Drosophila melanogaster: one gene and its partners. The protein of the gene in region 4 interacts with the protein of the main gene of each other region in a pairwise test. Each region holds a gene or a part of one and is shown on either strand. Other genes may lie near its edges. The genes, in order: CG13482, zld, Dora and CG13312.

Evidence for each region.
Region 1: the proteins of CG13312 (region 4) and CG13482 interact in a two-hybrid assay, tested with the Drosophila melanogaster proteins (one large-scale study listed by BioGRID).
Region 2: the proteins of CG13312 (region 4) and zld interact in a two-hybrid assay, tested with the Drosophila melanogaster proteins (one large-scale study listed by BioGRID).
Region 3: the proteins of CG13312 (region 4) and Dora interact in a two-hybrid assay, tested with the Drosophila melanogaster proteins (one large-scale study listed by BioGRID).

The regions. Positions count from the first base shown.
Region 1 is NT_037436.4:14,327,401-14,331,295, forward strand, and holds CG13482 (uncharacterized protein), read left to right. Parts: upstream 1-1,945; 5' UTR 1,946-2,036; coding exon 2,037-2,345; 3' UTR 2,346-2,485; downstream 2,486-3,895.
Region 2 is NC_004354.4:19,779,783-19,785,637, reverse strand, and holds the start of zld (zelda), read left to right. Parts: upstream 1-2,089; 5' UTR 2,090-2,784; exon of another isoform or gene 2,785-3,129; 5' UTR 3,130-3,351; coding exon 3,352-5,855. UniProt on the Drosophila melanogaster protein: Transcription factor required for zygotic genome activation (ZGA), a critical event in early embryonic development during which the developmental control passes from maternally provided mRNAs to the expression of the zygotic genome after fertilization.
Region 3 is NC_004354.4:18,861,697-18,867,880, reverse strand, and holds the start of Dora (dorado), read right to left. Parts: upstream 3,932-6,184; 5' UTR 2,442-3,931; coding exon 2,162-2,441; intron 1-2,161. Other genes in the region: CG7326 (uncharacterized protein), read left to right, coding at 4,199-5,647. UniProt on the Drosophila melanogaster protein: Substrate recognition component of a SCF-like E3 ubiquitin-protein ligase complex that promotes target-directed microRNA degradation (TDMD), a process that mediates degradation of microRNAs (miRNAs).
Region 4 is NT_037436.4:8,804,959-8,809,770, forward strand, and holds CG13312 (uncharacterized protein), read right to left. Parts: upstream 2,256-4,812; 5' UTR 2,241-2,255; coding exon 1,800-2,240; intron 1,458-1,799; coding exon 870-1,457; 3' UTR 853-869; downstream 1-852. Other genes in the region: CG34427 (uncharacterized protein), read left to right, coding at 1-26, 87-621, 688-814; CG32024 (uncharacterized protein), read left to right, coding at 2,667-3,169, 3,234-3,360; CG13308 (uncharacterized protein), read left to right, coding at 3,586-4,130, 4,193-4,349.

The DNA of each region.
Region 1 (3,895 bases), 5.5 Mb from region 4:
AAGTTGTTGACAAAGGGGTTAAAGGCCATAATTGTGGCCGTCGGCAGAAGGGGTTAATATGAATGGGGTGGCCTAACGCTTCCCCATGGGGAACCTTCCAAACGTGCCAGACTGAAAGTGGAATTTTCATTGGATGTGTAAACAAAACCAGCGGGGGAAAATGAGCCAGATGATCAAGTCTGAAAAGCTTTCGGTACGGTAGCACTAAAGTGAGTTTTTAAGGGGATATTCTCTGCTTTATGGCCGTGCTAATGTATTTTTTTTTTACAGAATAAAATTAGATTTTATGAATTTGTATGAAGGACATGTTATTTTATTATGATTTGCTTATGATTTATTGCAAATCTCTGAGACTTCCTGAGGTTTCTTGTAAATTACTATTTATTATGAGTTTATAATAAGTTGCCAATAAATTCAATTTATTGTTCCAATTTCATTAATAAACTTCGAAGTTTTTTTCTAAAACTTTCTCAAATATCCTTTTCTTCTTATTTTCCTCCAAGGTTGCCTTATCTACCACCAAAAGATTTCTTTACAAAGCTAATAAAATGTATTACCAAACTTTTGCAGAAGTTCTTTGAAAAGCAACTCCATAAAATCAAATTTATGTATTACCTGCATTGCCCCCTTCTATTTGCTTTCCCCCTACTTTCCAGCTTCTTTTTTACTCATTTCCTATATCGTTTTAGCTCCCTGAACTGCAGGAGGACAAAACCTCTGGTCGCACTTTAAATAAGCATTAAATTGATACAGCATAAAGTTGTTTCCTTCTCTTAGCCCGCTCTGTCTACCCCACTCTTTTGCTCCCAAGACGCACTCCAGACACACTCTAATCGCTTTATAACTTCTAACGCAGTTTATCAGAGTCGTCCGCAGCCCGTGGCCCCTCATCCCTTAATTCCAACACCCCCAAAAGTCATCCTTCCCATGCCATTAAGGCGGCTCAAAGGCAAAAGTTATTGTCACGCACTGAAGTCGCCTTCATGTGGAGTTGTGTGGTGCACTGAGAAAATCATTGGTTTTTAATAACTCGGCTCAAAATTATATTACATCAGTACGCAGGCTCTAGTCTTACAGTAAATATCAAATATTCTATTAATAAGATCAGTTAAAAAAGCTACTTTATTTTAGCAACATTATGAAAAGTTAACATTAGTTTACAGGGAATCCCTAAAATCATGTACCTATTTTGAGAGATATCCTCTTCATGGTAAATAACTCATACTCAATACACTGATAAGATTGTCAAGCTAAAGACGAAAATATTATGCAAGTGTTGATAAGAAGAAATTATATCAAGAGATTGTTTCTTTCTGTGCAATTTTTTTTATTGAAATGGTCGAAAGGGGGTATATAAACACCTCCACCCATGCCAATCTTCATGCAAAAGCTTTCTGGTTATTGCCTTCCTGCTCGCACTTTCTCTGTGCTTGTGTTGGGTGTCTTTAGTGCCTTTTTGGTTTTCCTCGCTTTTCTTCTTTCGTACTGTATTTTCTTATTTTTTGTTTAGGACTACGTCTGGCAAACAAGGCGGAAATTATTGTTGGCGGGGTCTTAAAGTTTTATTTTACCTTTTACATATCTATTTGTCAGCATCCTTTTTTTTGCAATATCAAATTGATGTTTTGTCTGCGAAATACTTTTTGTTTTTTCTTACATCTGCTATTACTATTACTGTCATTACATTCGTTAAGAATGAAAAGAATAAAAGCGCTTAAATGTTATGAATTAGTCCGGTGAGTAATTCCCGATCCATGATTGCACAAAAACATTGCTATCTTTATAGCCCACTTTGAGTATTAGCAATAGAATCGAAGTGAATCCCCAGTGAGTCAGTCGAATACACACCCCCTTCGATAAGATAAAGCAGCACAACAATAATACTATCTGAATTGTCAAGCTGTTCAAGTGGGATGTGTATATAAACTGGTCATATCAGCGGATGGAAAGGCAGTTAGCATTCAACAAGCAACGAGAGCAGTTTTCGAAAGGAATATATCAGTTTGATAAGGATTAAAAAAAGTAAAACATTCAAAATGTCGCCGCCACATCACGAAAATCGCCTGTTTGGAATCCACCTTGGCCTGAATTTGGGTGGAGGTGGACATCATCACCACCACCATCATCCACCGCCTCCGGTGCACCACTATCACCCACCGCCTCCGGTGCACCACCATCACCACCACGGACCTCCAATGCACCACCACGGACCCCCGCCGCACCACCACCACCACTACGGACCTCCGCCACCGCCGCCCCACTACGATCATCATCATCATCACCACGGCAGCCACTTTGACCATCATCATGGTCCTCACCATGGACATCATCATCATCACTGCTAGTACAATGGAATGGAAGGAAGGTCTTAAAAACCACAGCCATCAGGTGGCGAAATAATGAAAGTGTTTATAAGCGAATTTAATTTATTACATAAAGTGTACAAAAAACAAAACCAAAAAAATCATTAAAACCACTTAGACTTATACAAAGACATTTTTGAATGCTAGTTTCCTTGGGGAAAGTAAAAATAAATAAATTAAGAAGTACGATGATAATTCATGTAGAATTTTTTATATATGTATGTACTCGTAATGGATTTCTGCATTCCAAAAATACGTGTACTGCGCACTTAGTTAACAAATGTCCATACGATAAAGTATAAAATAACAACTAATCTTATCTTGATTGACATGACGCAAAGATTTCACCAAAACGTAATTGAACGATTCTCTATACATATAAAGCTGATTTTAAAGCCAAAGGAATCAAGAATAATTTTAAAACTTAATAATTCAAGAAATTCTAATCCAATAAGAAGATTATTGGCAACCACAAACACAAAACAAGACCACCCACGAAAACAAGTTTGTAAGCCGATAAATACAAATGAAATTAAATATAATTTTAGTACGGCTTAGATTCGCTTCGGGTGGGTCAAACAAAATGTTTGCCAATTACAAACCCATTTCGAAACGCTTTTATTTTTCTGCGGTTGTCACAAAACGCTAATTAGACAGCAGCTACCATATAGAGTGGGTCTCTCAATACCCGTATATATTTGTCTGTGGGTTATGTGGCCTGTCATAAAATATAAAATGCTGCCCCCGGCGTAGGTCGTATGGGTATCGACACCTGGAAAATATTGGTAATTAAAATTTGCCAGTTGTCGACCAGAAATCCGAAAAAACCGCTTCCATTTTGGCCTGTCTAATAATGTTGTAAAACATGTTGCCATTAAGTCAAGCGACAGACGCCGAAACGCCCCAAAGGTAAAAACTAAAAAAACAGGAAAAATAAGGAAAATGATTTGGTGGTAGGAAAATACCCTACACATAATTTAGAAGCTGAAGAATAAACTTATAAAAATTAAGATTTAAGTGATCTAATGATTAAAATGATAGTGTGATTTAAATAACTTAGTTAAAACTGAAGAGCTGGAAAAATAAGGAAAATGATTAAGTGGTAGGAAAATACCATAGCTGAAGAATAAACTTAAAAAAATTAAGATTTAAGTTATTTAGTAATTTTAAAATGTTTCAAAAGCTTTTTTCTCAACAACTTTAAACAAATTCCTTCAATGTTAAATATTAAATAGAATATGGAGTGTTTAGCTAATGTACATACCCCAAATTGTTTTTAGGATACCTTGTCGTATACTATAGCTCTCTCATTGACATGTCGCGCTAATGGAATTGGTAGCAGTAAGTGACACTCGAGCACTCTCTTCAGGTTTTTGGTCCAAGACTGTCAATTAAATATGAACATTTTTCGGGGTCTGGCTATCAACGATTTTTTGACAATTTCATGGGACAGCTCGAAAATTGACAGGCATGAGGGTAAAGTGCCCCTCCTCCTTAAATTGACTAGATGACAATTAACGTCTCAATTCATA
Region 2 (5,855 bases), on a different chromosome or scaffold from region 4:
GTCGTCCGTCTCGCCCGCGTCTTCGTCTTCGTCGTTTGCTTTATTGTTTTATTGTCAGTTTAGGGATTTGACAATTTGCTTGCTGATTTTTTATGACAATCATGTATGTAAATTTCAGGCCTCTCTGTCGCACTCTTCTCCGCCGCCTCACTCTCGCCTTCTCTCGCTCCCTCCTCCGGCCCTACTCCAATCTAAACTCTTCCTCAAGGCCCCACGCACACAGCCGCACAGTGGAGTTCGTATCTGTGTGGCTGCGATGGAGGTACTCGTATCTGGGCTCCATTAGCCCTCGCCTTTTCTCTTACGAAATTTTTAAATACTTTTGGGCCATTCTCAGCTGAGCTTGATTCCCAGCTCCAGTTGCCCAGCAAAAAAAAAAAAAAAAAATAAAACCTAAAACAACTTGAAACCCCATAGTTACCAACAGATTCAAACCCTTTCTGTCGCTATTTATACCCCTTAATCGTAGATTGGAAAAAGCATACCCATTCGAAAGACGAAAGATCGCCTGCATCTTTGGAATATATATGTACATACATACTTATGCATACTTACTTACATGCTTAGTCTTCTTCTAGTCTTCTATTTAAAAAAGTTTCTCTAGTGAGCTTATGATCTTATGACAGAATCTGATAACAGGGTATCCGTTAGTCCTAGCTTACGATTTTTTCCTTTCTTTTTAAATGTAGATTAGCTTTCGTTGTCTCTCAGCTCTGCACTCCCGTATGCCCAACGCAATAAAAGTTTGGTTTATTAATTTTTTGAACGTTCTCAACTTTTACGAGGCCCGTGACGTCGATAATCGTCGGTTGCCGGTCGCTCAGAAACTAGGCTAGTAGTGCGAATTGGTTTTGGCCCGGTCCAGTGAGTCAACATCTGACTAAGACGCTTCGAGGAGTCTATTAATAAGCCGCCGTTCGTACCAAGGCTAAAAAAAAAAAAACGGGCACAACTGAGCAACCAAGCCTAGAACTGCAACACAGCTTTAAATTAGGCGAGTTGCGATATGGTAATCGGTGGATCACACAAAAGGGCCAACCAATCTTCGCTGTGTTCTTGAAAAATCCACATTATCGCCACTTAAGCTAAATTTTGCTATTACAATAGAGTACATAAACATTTATTTATATGGTAAGTTCTTCATAGCGTAGATGACTTCTACGAACTGCCAGAGTTTTAAGCTAGAGATCGGAATAAACATTTCGAAATCCAACCATCCTAAAGAAAACAATTTCATATAAAATTTTTAGTGCCTAGGGCGGCTTAAATATATGCAGTTCGCTGTATATATCCAGAAACGCAAATACAGCGAAATAATTTCATAAATAAACAGTGGAAAATCATTTTAACACGATCAAAGCTATTGATTTGCTGCTAGAAAGGCAATGCAGAAGTTGTGTATTATTACAAATACACTTTACAATTGCGATCCATCCAAATTCTACGGATTGTTAAGTGCAAAACCGGTTATCAATGACCTTACTTAAATTACTTTTTTATAACCGTTCAGCAATTTTCTGTGGAAAATTGTGATGGCTTGCAAAAAAGGATTCAAATTTGTGTGCATTATAAAACGTATGTATATATGTGTGCATTATAAAACATATGTATATATGTATATTAAACATCAGTTTTCACTAATAATGCCATTCAAGGCATAAAAATATAAGCATTCAAATTGCGACTAATCGTTTATGTACATGTCTTCGAGAGGATTTATTAGTTCGATCTAAACAGATTGCAAAACTTAGGTCTCAACTAATGCTAATTATGCATGGGATACTTTATCTTGATTCCGAGCTAACTTGTGGTACTCTCAATGCAAAGGGTATTGCAAAGTAAAGGCAGCGCAAAGCAAAGGCAAAACCAAAAGCAAAGCAAAATCAAATGCAGCGGCGTTGACGGCAGCCGTGCGCGACAGAGACAGCACGCACATAACCGAAACGCCGCCGCGCAGTGTATATAGCGCACACACACACACAGCCACGCATGTGCGTCGACTGCGACGCCGCAGCCACAGTCGCAGCCGGCGTCGCTGCCGGCAGAACGGGTAGAACGAATGTGCCGCATGCACGGCGGTGTATTTGTCGGTCATTTGTATTTGGAACGCCGTAGCAGACAGAAGGACACGGGTGAAAAAGCGACGAAGCGTGCGAACGGAGTGGAGCGGCTACTTTTAGCGCCCTTTTTTGTTTCATTTTCCCCACTCACAAAACGCAACATTTTTGGCAACAACTTTTCGGCAAACCAATTGAAAAACAAACTAAACGAACTAATCGCGGCTCGGGAATCAACAACAAATTTAATTCCGATGCAATACTTGTGTTCGTAAACAATTTTTTTCTGTTCGATCCGATCCCCGATAAACGATAAACGCGAATTCCAGTGATCTTTTGGAAAAGGGCGAAGCGAAAAGCGAACCCAAACCGAAAAACTCTAAATCACCGGTAAAAAAAAAAGTGGCGAGAGAGAGCAAGAAAGAGAGAGAGAGAGAGATAGGGAGAGTGTGATCACATCGCATCGCCATTCTCGCTTCCCTCGCAATTCGCAAAAACAAAATTCGAAATTCAAAATTGACCAGCATTCGTTGCGGTTCCGATATTGGTTTCTTCAGTTCAGTTCAGTTCAGTTTCGTATTATTTATCGAGTCTGCTGTTGTGTGTCTTTCGTTTCGCCGAAGAGGAGCGGTGAAAGAGAAGAAGGAGGAGGAGCGGAGCAGAAGAAGAAGGAGCGAAGCAGAAGTCCAAGTCCAACGAAGAAGTGCCCAAAGCGAGGCGCAGATAAGTAAGAAAAGCAAAAGAGAACGGAAAAGGGATCTTCATCGAGGATCCTTCATGTATATATTTTTTTCGAGTGTGTGTGTTAGTGTGCGTCGTGAGCGTCCATGTGTGCTCTCCACAAACAATTGCAGTTGACATTACGTTCGCAAGTAAAAGCTATTGTATTTCCACCATACAAATCAAATTACAAAAGTGCCTGCAATTTCGCATCGAAGTGAAATGGACACCAAGAACCGTTAGACACCAAAAGCTTTGAAAACACAGTGTGCATGTGTTTGTTTTTTTTCCGTTTGCAACTCAAGTAACTTCAAACTAATAATGGCTTAAACAATAATTGGCTTATTTTCAGTACAAATACAAAGCACAAAAAAACAAAAAATCACAAAAAAATAAAACGAAACGAGAGCATATAACATAAAAACCCAAAACAAAAACGATCGGCTCAGCAGAGCCAACGAAAAGCAAGCAGCGTAGCAGCAGGAGCAGAGGATGCACCACTGATCCCGGAGAGCTCGAGACATGAGAAGCGAAACACCGAGCAGCCACCAAGCATCGACTTATGTAGCGGTCCATGACGAGCATTAAGACCGAGATGCCGCCCCTGCACGCGGCAGAGGCGCTCGCCTCCAGCAGTGCTACAGACAGTGGTGGGGGAGGAGCAGGAGGAGGAGGAGGAGGAGGTGGAGGAGGATCGGGCGGACCAGGAGCGGGAGGAACGGGAGGCGTAGGCAGTGCGCCCGCCACACCCAATGCCACAATTAGCGCCGCCGCCGACTCCAGTGATAATCAACCCGGCACGCCGCAGCCCACGCAACAGCAGCAATCGACGCAGCAACAGTTGCAGCAGCCACAATCGCAACAGCAGCAGCAGCAGGCCATGGGTGGAGGAGATCCCCAGCAGCAGCAACAGCAGCAGCAGGTAACGGGTATCACCCACCAGCCGTACGCCACCCACCACATGTACTCCGCATCTGGCGGACAGCAGCAACAACAGCAGCAGATCTACGGCGGACTCTACGGCGGGGACATGCAGCAGCAGCAGGGTTACGCCAGCAGCTACATCAACAGCTACGAGCAGTTCTACCAGCAGCAACAGCAGCAGCAGCAGGGCACTGATTACGCCTTTGGCACCGTGGGCGTTGACTATGGCAAGAGCGCCGGTGTTCGCTATCATCCCTACCTGCAGACGCCAACCTCCGGACTGGGAGGCATTCCAACGGCCAGCTCGGCACAGGAGGAGGCGGGCAGTGCGCCCAGCGCGGTCAGCACCACCACAGCGGTGGCCATGAGTCCGCGTGTGGTTAGCAGCAGCAGTCCAACGTCGACGTCCTCGCACCTGCAGCTGGGCAGCTCCAGTGGCCAGACACCAGGCTCACCAGGCGGAGCCGCCGGAAGTGCCGGATGCAAGTTGCAGTGCAAGAAGTGCGGCATCCTCACCACCAACGAGTCGGAGCTACAGGAGCACATCGCCAACGTGCACGGAGAGTCGCCGTACGGCAGCAGCGGTTACGCCAGTTCACCGTACATCAAGGAGGAGATGCCCACACCACAGCCACCCGGCGTTGGATCCGCAACGGCCAATCCCGGCGAATTACTCGACCTAGATTCCCAGAAGATGGTCTATCACCAGCAGCTGCTCCAGCAGCAACAACAGCAACACGACGTGGTCGCTGGACTGCCGCTGGGCGCTCTGCCGGATCCGCTGCACTCGATGCAATCTATGCAGCAGCGCGCACTCCACAGCTGGGAGCAGCAGCCACAGCAGACGGTGGCCTCCGTGGAGGGCCTGCCACCCTACATGCAGCAGGGATTGGGCGTGGGGCTGGGAGTCGGTGTGGACAAGTCGCCCTACTACTCACCAAAGCAGTCACCCTATCATCAGTCAACCGGCGTTGGCGGAGCCACGCTGATCAAGCAGGAGTACGGCGGCCACGGACTGATCAAGTCCGAGTATCCCGATTCGCAGCATTACGTGGACAAGTCCTTCGATCCCACAGCTGGCGGAGCTGGTGGCGCGGAACTGTGCGCCAGCGTGGCCACCAGTCCGGCGGAGTTCCCCAGCACCACTACGGGCGGACCAGGGCAGGAGGGAGCGGCGGGTGCGGCGCCAGGAGGTGGATACCGCGGTTTCGAGCCACCCAGCTCGAGCTCCGTGCTGCCGGCCAACAGCCTGACGGCCAAGGCGGCCACCTGGAAGTCGAACGAGGCGCGCCGTCCGAAAACGTACAACTGCACGGCCTGCAACAAGTGGTTCACCAGCTCGGGCCATCTTAAGCGCCACTACAATACGACGCTGCACAAGAATGCGGTTAAGTCGAGCGGCCAGCCGGATCCAGCCACCCTGCCCATCTCGGCGCACCACCATCCCGCCCGCGACCCGGTGACGAAGCCCAGTCGCAGGGGCAATGCCGCAGCCGCTGCGGCCGCCGCTGCAGCTGCCGCCTCGGCCAGCGGTCAGGGTCAGCAGCAACAGCCGCCGATACCGCCGCCGCCGGCCAATGTGCCACCCCCGGAGCCGCCTAGAAGTCCGCCCGATTATGGCGGAGGAGGCGGCTTGGGCGTGGGAGCGATGGGCGGCGCTGCCATGTCCCAGTACTCGGCCTCACCCTCGCCCACACAGCAGCAGCAGCACCACCTCAACCACCATCAGCAGCAGGCCAACGGCTATGCTAATGGCACCGCCAACGGCTATGGCTACATGCAGCAACAAGTGCAATCCACGACAAACGCTTCACCACAGCACGCTTCCAACAACAACAGCAACAACCAGCAGCAGCAGCAACAACAGCAGCAGCACCATCAGCAGCAGATGCCGCAGCACCACAACTCCGTTTTGAACGGTCACCCAAACGGGCTAGCAGGTCCCTCCGCCCCACACAACAACAACACCACCCAAATGCCGTCCTCCCAAATGAGGGGCCTGCTGAACGAAACAACAACCACGCCGCCACCAACAACAACAACCCGAGCACCACAAATCACAACAACAGCAACAACAACAACAACGGCGGCCACCACGGTAGCTATAAAGAGCGAGCAAATGGAGGACAGCAACCACACTCACACCCACACACA
Region 3 (6,184 bases), on a different chromosome or scaffold from region 4:
TTCAATCAAATACACTTGGGTTTTGTGCAATTCGGTATAAAGGCCATTTCCATTTGGCTTTTACACACAACGGACAAGGAATTTATCAGTATAATTATCGATTGAGGTCACCAAACCTTACATTCAGACAAATGCAACTTGCGTTAACTGATGTTCGTTTTCCAATGTTCTGTTTAATGGTAAATCATGCCTTCAAATTAAGTAAGTAAGATGCTAGTTAAAAATAAATAGAACCCCCTGGTTGCGCACCATAGCTTGGCTTAAAACATTTCAATTATGGCATGTTAAATGCTCGAACGCACAGAATTCTTATGATGTATATACATAAGCCTTCAATCGCATCAGAAGCCGTTGACAATTGTGGATCAAATCAATGGGCTTCTTCCGTTTCAACTATCTGAAGAACTACCATATCTGGGGAGCCACAGCAAACGGGGCGGAGGAGCTACAAGGTGCGATGGGAATAATGGACTCTCCTCCGTGTCGTCGTCGTCGTCGTCCTCGTCTTTATTTTTATTACATCCCCTTGGGCAGGTTGTGGTGGTATCCTTGAAAAGGTTCTTTGACACAACAAAGCGAGGCTCTCGTCGCCTCAGCATCGACGTCGAAGTCGACGTCAGCGTGTTCAGCTGGCAGCAGCGACATCGTTTTGAGGCAATATAGTTTTTTGATGCGGTTATTATGTCTTTCGAGCATGAAAATGCAGCTGGCTTCGCCACTACACACACACAAACCCAGTCGCAGGGCTAGCTCTTTGGCTATTTTCCCGCCAAAATCGAATAGCTTAAGCTACTATCTATTGGTCCTTTAGGTTTACAAACCAACAGCATATGAACAAATAGATATTTGGCTAACTCCTCTGTTTATAGGAAGTAAAAGATTTGTATAACATAACAGAAAGATAAAAATGATTAAGATTGAGCAAAGTTCAGCTAGTTTTGCCTAGTACATATACTATATTTTGTAATACTAGTGCTTAGTATCAATAAATATCAATAAAATCAACAAGCTGGTAACCCTGGCTATCAAAGAATCCACAAAGAAGACAACTGAATGGTTGGAGGTTCTTTGGCGGCTTTGCCGCTCTGTTTAGTCCTTTGACCCTTCCAAATATAGTCCTGTTTCCCCCCACAGCAACACTGCTCAGTCAAACAAAGGAAAATAAGCAAACGAATGCAGTGGATGGGCAAATGACGAAGACGAATGGAGGATACGAAAGAGAAACAGCGACGAGGACGAACTGCGCAGTCGCAGCCAGATATCCAGATATTACATGATGATAGTGCTGTGCGGCGGCGCACAGGATACAGAAAACGTGTAAGGAACGTCTCTTGGCAGGCCCGAAACAAAAAAAAAAAACAATACCCCAGCCACATGCACAAGCGTAATGAGCCACAGGGAAAGACAAAGGGACGCAACAAAAAGGTAAAAAGGAAACTCGTATAAACGAATGAAAATAAAAAACGTTGGCAGCCAAAGTCGTGATTTTGACTTCAGCGATAAGCAGAGGACTTCGAGGAAATGCGGGGAAACGAAGAAGACAATTGCAGACAGAGGGCAACAACAATTACAGCCTGCTCGTTGTTGTGCCTAAGTCAATTTTACAGAATTTACCAAAAGCGAAAAGGTCATGCGTATAATTACAGGCAGCACAGTGTAGCCATATTGCAAATAGCCAAATGCGACCAAGCTAGTAAAACATAGAACTAAAGCATATCACTCTACTTAGCTTAAAAAGTAAATTGTGTAGCAAGTAATTGATTATTTAACGCTATACGGATATAAATCTGTATAAAATGTACATGTAAGTTTCTCATTGTAAAGGGAAAGTTATAGGTATAAACTATTTTGGTTGCCTTATGGTTTTAAAAACAATTAAGGAAGTCAATATCTTTTGTATGCGACATATGAAAGCTTCTTATGAGAAAGTCTTTCTTAATTCCTGAATAAAAGAGGATACTTTTTTGATATCTTTAGGACGCACACTTTTCGAACTCTAAAAACTGTCAATGTTGTACAATGTTTTTCGGATTTTAAGAAGCTCTCTTCAGTTTAGATTTGTATCTGTGATTTTCACAACTGTAGTTTCACTGGTGTAATGCTCAATGGTCCGGGTACACTGCCCTAAATCCCGCCCTAGCAACAAGGAGATGCTACTCACCATAATGTCTGCCGCAGGTGGATGTGTTGGCCATGGCCGTTCCATTGCCGCCCGGTGTGCAGGAACCAGAGGCTCCTGCTCCTCCGAACGGCGGTGCTCCTGAGCCGCCGGCCACAGCCATACCGCCCATGCCGCTCAAGCCGCCATTGCCTGCGCCGCTGCCTGCAGCGGGCTTCTTCCAGCCGCGCCAGTTGTTGCACAGCGATTCCGGTTCAGAGCTCCAGCTGCAGAGGGAGTCTTCCTCGAAGCGGATGGAGTCGTCGAAGCTGAAGCGGTCCATTTCCTCCGGATTCCATTCGTTGGCCGCTGCTCCTGCAGCGTCTCTGCCCGCCGCTCCGGCTCCTGCGCCGCCTCCTGCTGCTCCTTCGGCGCCAGCGCCGACTGCAGCCGCTCCTCCGCCTCCTCCATTGTTGTTGTTGTTACCGCCGCCTCCTCCTCCTCTGTTGTTGTTGCCGCCGTTGCGATTCGCCAGCGTGAGGCTGAGATTGTGTGTGTTTACAGTTGCTCCTTCTACTGCTGAAGCTGATTCTTGTTCTTCTTCTTCAGCTGCTCCCCCGTTTGTTTGTTTTCCTCAGCTTCCTCTTCCTCCGTCTCTCTCACTGTTACTCTCCTCTCTTTTTGGATGGATGTATATGTATAATGGATCTCTGCCAAACGCTCAATTTAAAATCGTGTAAAAGGCGAATTTCTCTTGAGCGTTCTTCTCTTCCTCTTTTCTCTCTCGCTGTGTTCCTCTCCTTCGGTTCTCCCCTTTCAAACTCAAGCACACTGCCGGACTCGCTTGCTTTTAATTAACTTATTAACTGTAGATTTATGCTTAGGGCTCTAAGTTTCCCTTTTAGACTTAACTTTAGGTTTAGATTTAGATTTTGGGGAGTTTAAAAACTATTTTTGTTTATATGTACAAAATACGTTCAGTGCGCCGCGGTCTCTGTCGCTGCCTCTGCCCGCGTCGACTGCGACTGCTATTGTTTGTTGTCGTTGTTGTTGCATGTGAACTTTTTCGTATCCCCCAACGAACGAGAGAGCGAGATGGGGCTATGCTATGCGACTGCCGAAATAAGAGGGCCAATTTGTAGTTGTAGTTCTTGTTGTTGATGTTCTTGCTTCTGTTATTATTGTTGATGTGGTTCTTGCTGTTGTTGTTGATTTTGCAGGGGACCCCCAGTCGTTGTTATTGTTGTTAACGCTCCTCTTTTATCCGCTCTGCGCTTTGCAGTCCGCTTTGCCGTTAATTATTTTTTCACTCCTTCGCTTTGTGGCTCATCTTCGCTTTATCCTGCGCGCACCGCACTCACTCTTTCTCGCTCGCCCTCACTCACTCACACAGCAGTAGCAGCAGCAACAACAACGTTGCACACAACATCAATATATTGGATATATATCAACACTTTTTCGCCTGCGTGCTTGTCAGTGTGTGTGTGCATGCGTGCGCTTGTCGATTTTCACTGCCTTCTTTTCTTTGTGTGTGTATATGCGCTGCGCGTTGTGTTTGTCTGCGTCTGTGCGTGTGTTAGGTTTACGTGTGTGTGTGAGTGAACGAACGAAATGCGTTTAGCGAACGTTTTTTTAAAAAATCCTTAAATTTTTTGTGGATTTTGGCGATTACCGACACTTAAAACGGCACTGCACACGCGTCCCCGAAAACAACGGCACCTAGATTCGCTGGCCGAGTTACGATTTGTTTGATGCTACGCACGGTTTTCGGACACTTTTACACGGGGCTTTGTTTTTACCCATCGCATCGTCGACTCTTTTGCTCCTAAACGTTGTTGGTGTTAGTGGTCAGCGATAGTGCTCACACACTCGATATGGGTTTTCGATCATTTTCGGCTGAATATTCGATAAGGTCAATAGTATCGGTTTTCCGCGTACGATTTCCCAGTTTTCAAATGACGGTCACACTGACATTCATTCTTGACAATCGATAGTTTTTGTCGAGTGACGCTCTTAATATCGAAAAACCATAAGTAACGATAGGCCCATTTTGTTGGTGGTGTTCACAATCTTCTCGCGCTTTCCCAGGAACTGGTCAAGATGCCCATCGCCGGGCTGTGCATCGAACTGCGCCCGAACCTACGCAGCGGCGTGGTCTTCCTGCGATTCGACCAACAGGTTTCGCAGAGCCAGAAGACTCGCGTCGTCGTCCGCGACTACAATGTTTATATCAGCGAGAAACCTAAGAATCAGGCAATCGACTTGGATTCCAGCTCCGAAAGCGACAGCGAGGACTCCGACAAGCTGATGCTCATCCGGCACGCGCAGTATGGTATGGACATTGTCTGCCTGTCCACGTTCTTGGTCAGTGGCAGGAACATCAGTTTCCGCTTCAACTACAACCAGATTGATCTGGCCAGCGTGGATGGAAGCGCTGTGGACGTGCCTCTGGCGCCACTACTCCTCTCCTGCCAGGAGAACGAGCCCATCACTATCAACTGTCGTGATTGCCGAGCGGAATTGGTGGCAGGCCGAAGCTATCGCAGGTTGAGGGAGTTTCCCAGCCTCTTGGTGGATCCCACTGAGTTCTTTTGCCACAATCATGGACCAGCGGGCAAGACCCAACCAATTAGCTTAGTGCCCGCCGAAACGGATCTTTTCTATGGCCTCAACTATGTGGTCATCAACTTTAACGAAGAAAGTTCGTGCATGCTCAATCGCGACGATCACTTGTACTGCCAGCGCTGCATGCGTTATTTGGGGCTGACCATGTTCGATGGCGCCGCCGCTCGCATCTGGGCTGATGCAGTACGTTGGCGTCCCGCAGGAGCGGCGACAAATGCCCCCGATCGCCACTTCTTCCAAAACTCCACGCTAACGCAGCTTTTCAAGCGTCTGCTGCACTCGCTGTGGCCTCAACCGTTGCCTCAGCTCTGTTTGAACACCAGTCGTGCGGTGCTGGTCACCTCGCTGCCCAACCGAAATCAGCAATACATGTTTTTGCACGTGGTGGAGTCACAGCTGCGTGTGCTGCGTCGCATTCGCCCAAATTCGAACCGACTACGCTGCTTTCGCGCCTGCAAGCTGTACTACGGCGTTTTTGGAGCCAATCCGCCGCTGCTGGAGAAGTGGCAGGCGCAGCAGACGCTGCCCCAAATGGATGTATCACCGAACATGTTCCTAAAGATTCAGAAGCGCCTCGAGACGAATGGCCACTTGATTCCGGACGCCTTGAGCACGAACTGTGCGGAGGAGCACCTGCAGTTGTCGTACTTCTTTTATGAGAACGAGGATCAACACGACGGCGGGGTCGTCGCTTCGGATGTGTTTACGGATCAAATGAGCAACGTGTATCAGAAGGAGGTGGATCCGTACGAGACGGATGCAGGACATGCCAGCGAGAGCGATGACGAGTACTCGGATACGGACACCGCTTCGGGGGACACGGCGGCTTACTCGCTCGGCATGCGTACCCTGCAGAAACGCAGCCCCACTCCGCCGCGGTCTTTCGCCAAAATGGCCACCTCCGCCTCGCCGGAGGACAAGTAGTGACCCAATCCGATTCAAAAATCAAGCATAGCTTGTATGTCGGAAACTATGTTACTTGTTTTCACTATACAAAGACGGACTTGGCCCAATAATTTGTCAAAGATATTTTTTTTTTAAAGTTAGCCCTTGATTGATAATCAATTCCATCCAAAATACTTTACTATGCCTTTGATTCAAATCCTCACATCCTTTGCTTTTGTTTATCGTTATACATTCGCTTAGAATGAATTAACAGTACGCGGAATTGATAACGCCAAAGACTATTTATTGTTTTGTGAAGAAAATTTTGATTTTATTGCTTGACTCGATCGTTATATATATATATGTATATTATATATAGTTTAACAAACGTTTTGCAACAAGTATTAGCTGGATAAACGACTTCTATATATATGTATGTACTAGCACAAATGCAGTGCGTTCCGTGACTGTAAGTGCCAATGTCTTGGCCTTACAGCTGCGAAACGCACTGCACATGTTTTGAAGAAAAGTAAGAAGATTGTTTGCTTTTGCTTACACTTTGACGTTCCCTATTAA
Region 4 (4,812 bases):
CACGTCCTTTTACTTGTGTTTTGGAGGTAATTAATTGCGGAATATAATTTTAAAAGGGTTTTTATTGACTTATAGTGATTTTTCAGATGGAACTCCACATCGTGATCAGCTATACCATTGCTTAGAAGGATTTGACTGCACCAATCTCACGGCGATTTGTGTTCAGAAGAGCAGCCAGCGGCCTCCCAGTTGCGGGGATACCTCTCAATGTGGCCAATGTAGTGCCAATCGGAATTATCTATTCGCGTGCCAGAGTCGTGGTATCTTTCAGATGTGCTATGGAGCCACTAGACCCACTGGGCAATTTGGTTACTGCCCCACGGGTACGGTTTGTGATGCCAGCAGCACTGCGATTTGTGTGCCTGAGGTCGCGGGTCAAACGCTGACCTGTGACATAAATGACGAACTGGTGGACACCACCACTGCAGCGTCCGTGACCACCGAAACTACTGGCGGTACCACTGAAAGTAGCACTGAGAGCACAACTGAAAGCAGCACCGATTCAACTGTAACCACCGAGACGCCCACTACAGTGACGCCTCTAACTCCTGCCCAGATGTGTGCCCAAAGGAATGCCACTGGTCTTTTTCCCGTCATTCCTGCGGATCCCTATTGCCAGCGGTGCGTACAGAATTTTGCGTAAAATTTTCCACATCACTCATTTAATTTAACCACTTATCTTTACAGCTACATTAGTTGTTACTTTCAAAAGAACGTTCTTATCAAATCTGCCGAATATAACTGTCCCACAGATTCCTGGTTTGTTGCTCAAACTCAGAGTTGCGTCTACGTAAATCCCGGCTACTGTCTTTAATGTTCAGCTCATTATAAATAAACCGTCAAATACTCTTTGCATAGAGATTCCTTTTTTAATCTAAAACCACTCCATTGAGGGTTAAACTGGCCACTGTGGTGGAGCATGTGGATGGTAAGGTGGAGACACATGTTCTGCTGGCACTGTTGTAGTAGAGGCTACCGGGACATGTGTACATATTGCCACCCCAAGTGCCTCCGTTCAGAAAACAGTCGATGTACTGATGACACGTGGTGCTGGCATCCGTACCCACCGGGTAGTAGCCCGCCGACTGCATCGCCTGGCAATATGCCTCCGGATTACTGGTCGTGGGTGCCGCAGTCGTCGTGGAACTCGTTGTTGCAGTTGTGGAACAGGTGGATGGCATGGTGGACACACACATCTCGGAGGCACTATCGAAGTACATGGATCCCGGACAAGTGTAGGTCTGGCCAATCCAACTTCCGTCAACCAAAGTGCAGTAGATATACTGGCGACAGGTCGTATACGCGTTATATCCGACCGCGTATTTTCCCTGCGACTGAACCGCCGCACAGTAAGTGGATGCCGAGCTGGTGGAAGGTGGTGCCGCTGTGGTGGAGCTGGTGGTGCTGCTCACCGTGGTTGTGGTTGAGTCATCGCTATACGAACAGGTCGGCATCACCTGCAGAGTTATGTAGATTTATTATTTATTGTGGGCCAGAGGAAAGGAATATACATATTCTGTCACGGAATGAACAGCGTTTTTCTTTGTCCTATTAGACATACAAGTAAATTTCCTAAAAACACCTTGGTTTCCTCAAAATCAATTATAATAATTCAAGCTTTAACGAAACACTTCAAATTGCATACAAAGAGCTTATTTTCTCCAGTCACTTGGTATCACATTCTAATGAATAGTGCTTCTTGAAAGTTTAATTTCCTTTCAGAGTCGTCTCAGCATCCTGGAGCACCTGTTCTTTCTCAAACATCCCATTTCCACCAAGAAGAAGAAAGGCGAACTTACCCCATCCGCTGGCAGACCGCATATCTGGGTGTCGTTGATGTTGCACACATAACCGGAGGCACAGGTGCCCACCGAATCCTGGACGGTATCTGTGCCCAGGCAGAGGGCGAAGCTCTGGGTTCCGGTGCAGGCGAACGTCTGGGTCTCATCGCACTTGTTGCACTCCTGGCAGTCCGCCTGACTGTCAGATGCCGAGTCCTCCGGCTGGCAGAGCACACCGCTGGAGCCGCTGACGCAGACATAGCCGCTGGGGCAATCGGTGGGCGTGGCCGTGGACAGGACGTCCACCTGGCAGGACTGCATCTGGGTCGAGGAGTAGCAGGTCAGATTGTTGACGGTGTTGCAGACGTTGCAGGTGCCATGAGTCGAGGACACAAGGCAACCGAGCAGGAAAAGCAACAGCGGCAGGCCAAGTGGCAAGCAAACACGGTTAGGCGACATTTCGGGTTGCAATTGTTTTTTCCGACTGATGTCTGTGCCTGGCAGGCATGTGGCTTAAATAGAGCGCTTTTTTGGCAGCTATTTTGGAGCATGCAGATTGCTCTTAATCCACAAAGACCTCGGCAGGCGGGACCTTGGCTACTGCTCCAATTTAGATAAGCTCTTGCTGCTTTGACGGACTGAAAAGGGTAGCATACTTTTTGGTGTTGGCGAATTTTTATTGGGTTATTTTTGTTGTATGTTTACATAGTAATATAATAGCGATATATAAAACTGAATATGTATGAAACCTGTTAGGCGACAAGGATAAATAGATATCACTAGCTTTTTTACTACTCAAATAGCCTTATCTTAAATAGCTTTCTGGATAAGAAAGTTGCCTATATAGTTTGTAAAGTTTGAATATACATGCAGTTACTCTTGAAAATGCAACGGCACCTGCTCTTTTCAGTATTTTTGTTGGCCACTCTAGTGAAATTTAGCCAGGCCGAGTGCAATATCTGTTCCTCTGAGAGCAATGTAGCCTGCGTGTCCAAGAATCAGTACCAAAACTGCTCGGCAAACGCTATTCCTACAGGTACCGTGTATACATGTCCAAATAATACATTTTGTACGGGATTGCCAGAGAAATGCACTTCCAACGAGGCTTTTGCATCCTGCAATGATTGCAGAAAGTGTGACGGAATTATACCATTCGCCTGTACTAGTCCAACAACTTTTGCACTTTGCAATGCTGTGAATGAAATTGCAAGCAATGAATATCCCTGTTCGACAGGAGAGGTGTGTCTATACCAAATTGGCAATCCTTGTGTGGCCTCACCAAACGGCACAAGTGCCTCGTGTTCCCAGTATGCTTTAATCGATGATTTGTGTATCCAAAAGAGCTCCACGGGTCGCTTTCCTTATCCCAATGATTTAAGCTGCCTAAAGTGAGTTGTTTATATTGTATATTAATATGAGTGCATCTTCATTTTTAATCAATCTTGTTTTTAGATATATTTACTGTTTTCGCAAGAGTTCCACCTGGTCCGGAAATTCCTGGCAGTGTCCTTCAAGTAAACCATACTTCAGTGCCAGCACTTCTACTTGTGTAGCGACTAAACCGGCAACATGTGCCTAGTTCATTGTTATAAAAGAAATCTTGTAATATAAATATATTTACATACTGCATAATTTGAATAGAGTATAAGAACCGCTTTATATCATTGGACACATTGACTTTATTAGTTCGTCAACAATCTGGTAATAACTCTTTGTTGGAAGTTCTAGTTTCTCCGAGTGATAAGATTACTGCGAGCGCATAAAGCCAACTGGTTGACACCAATATCGCTAGTTTATTGTAAAGATGCTGCGCTGCTTGATCTTGCTGGCAATCGGAGTTTTCCTGGTGATCCGTATTCTCGGTATCCGTGGGGATTGCAATGTGTGTGCCTCCGTTAGCAATGTGGCCTGTATATCGAACACCTCATTTCAATTCTGCTCCAGCAGCGCATTACCTGCTGGTCCCGTTTACACGTGTCCCACGGGTTATTATTGCACCGCAAATGACGTAACGTGCAATACAGACGTGGCCCAAAGATCCTGTATAGGTTGTGGCACCTGCGATAGTGGCAATACATTTGCCTGCCTCACTGCAAGGACATTTGCCCTGTGCCTGGGAACATCGACTCCTTCCCAGATCGTCGGAAGTTGTGGCTCGAGCTATGTATGTGATTTTAATAATCCGTATATTTGTGGTAGTCCAGCGGCAGGATCACAGGCCACTTGTCCGGGTGACGGTAGTGGTACTGGACTGGATGTTACGTCAACGACACCCACCACCTATTGTTCCATCGTCCAGCAGCACGGAAGATTTCCCTACGGCATTGATCTCAACACAACCTGCAGACAGTAAATATTAGGAGTTCAATTATCTCGTATATAAAAAATTAAACCGCTTATTTCATAATAAGGTACATATATTGTTATCTCAATGCAACTAACTGGGCAGGAGGCCTCTACTATTGTCCTGGACAAACTTACTTCAATAGCTCATCGGGGTATTGTGGCACCGAAGTGCCAGCCAGGTGCACTAATGGAATTACCAGCTTGACACTTACCATCACATAAAAATTCATAAAAAAAAACAATCATATAGTCTAAAGATTTTGGGAGCGTTGATAACAATTGCTTTTAAAAATAAATAAATAATTTTTTATAGTCGCAACACACAACTAAAGCGTTTACAAAACAAACATAAATATAGATACTGCCCTTACACAAGATTAGATTGCAACTCAACAATTCCGTTTGCTCAAACGCTGTCAACTCCGTGTAATTCAAAAATGCTGCGGTTAGTGATCTTTCTGGGAATAGGAGTCCTCGGCTGTCAGGCTCTCTGCAATTCGTGTTCCACGAAGTCTAAAGTGTCCTGTCTCTCACAAACAGAGTTTCAGTTCTGCTCATCTGCATCCGTGCCAAGCGGAAAAGTGTACTCCTGCCCTAAAAATCACTTGTGCACCGGCGAATCCATTGTCTGCAGCAAAAATGCATCTCTTGCTGCATGCAATTGTTGCAGTGAGTGCACTTCCGA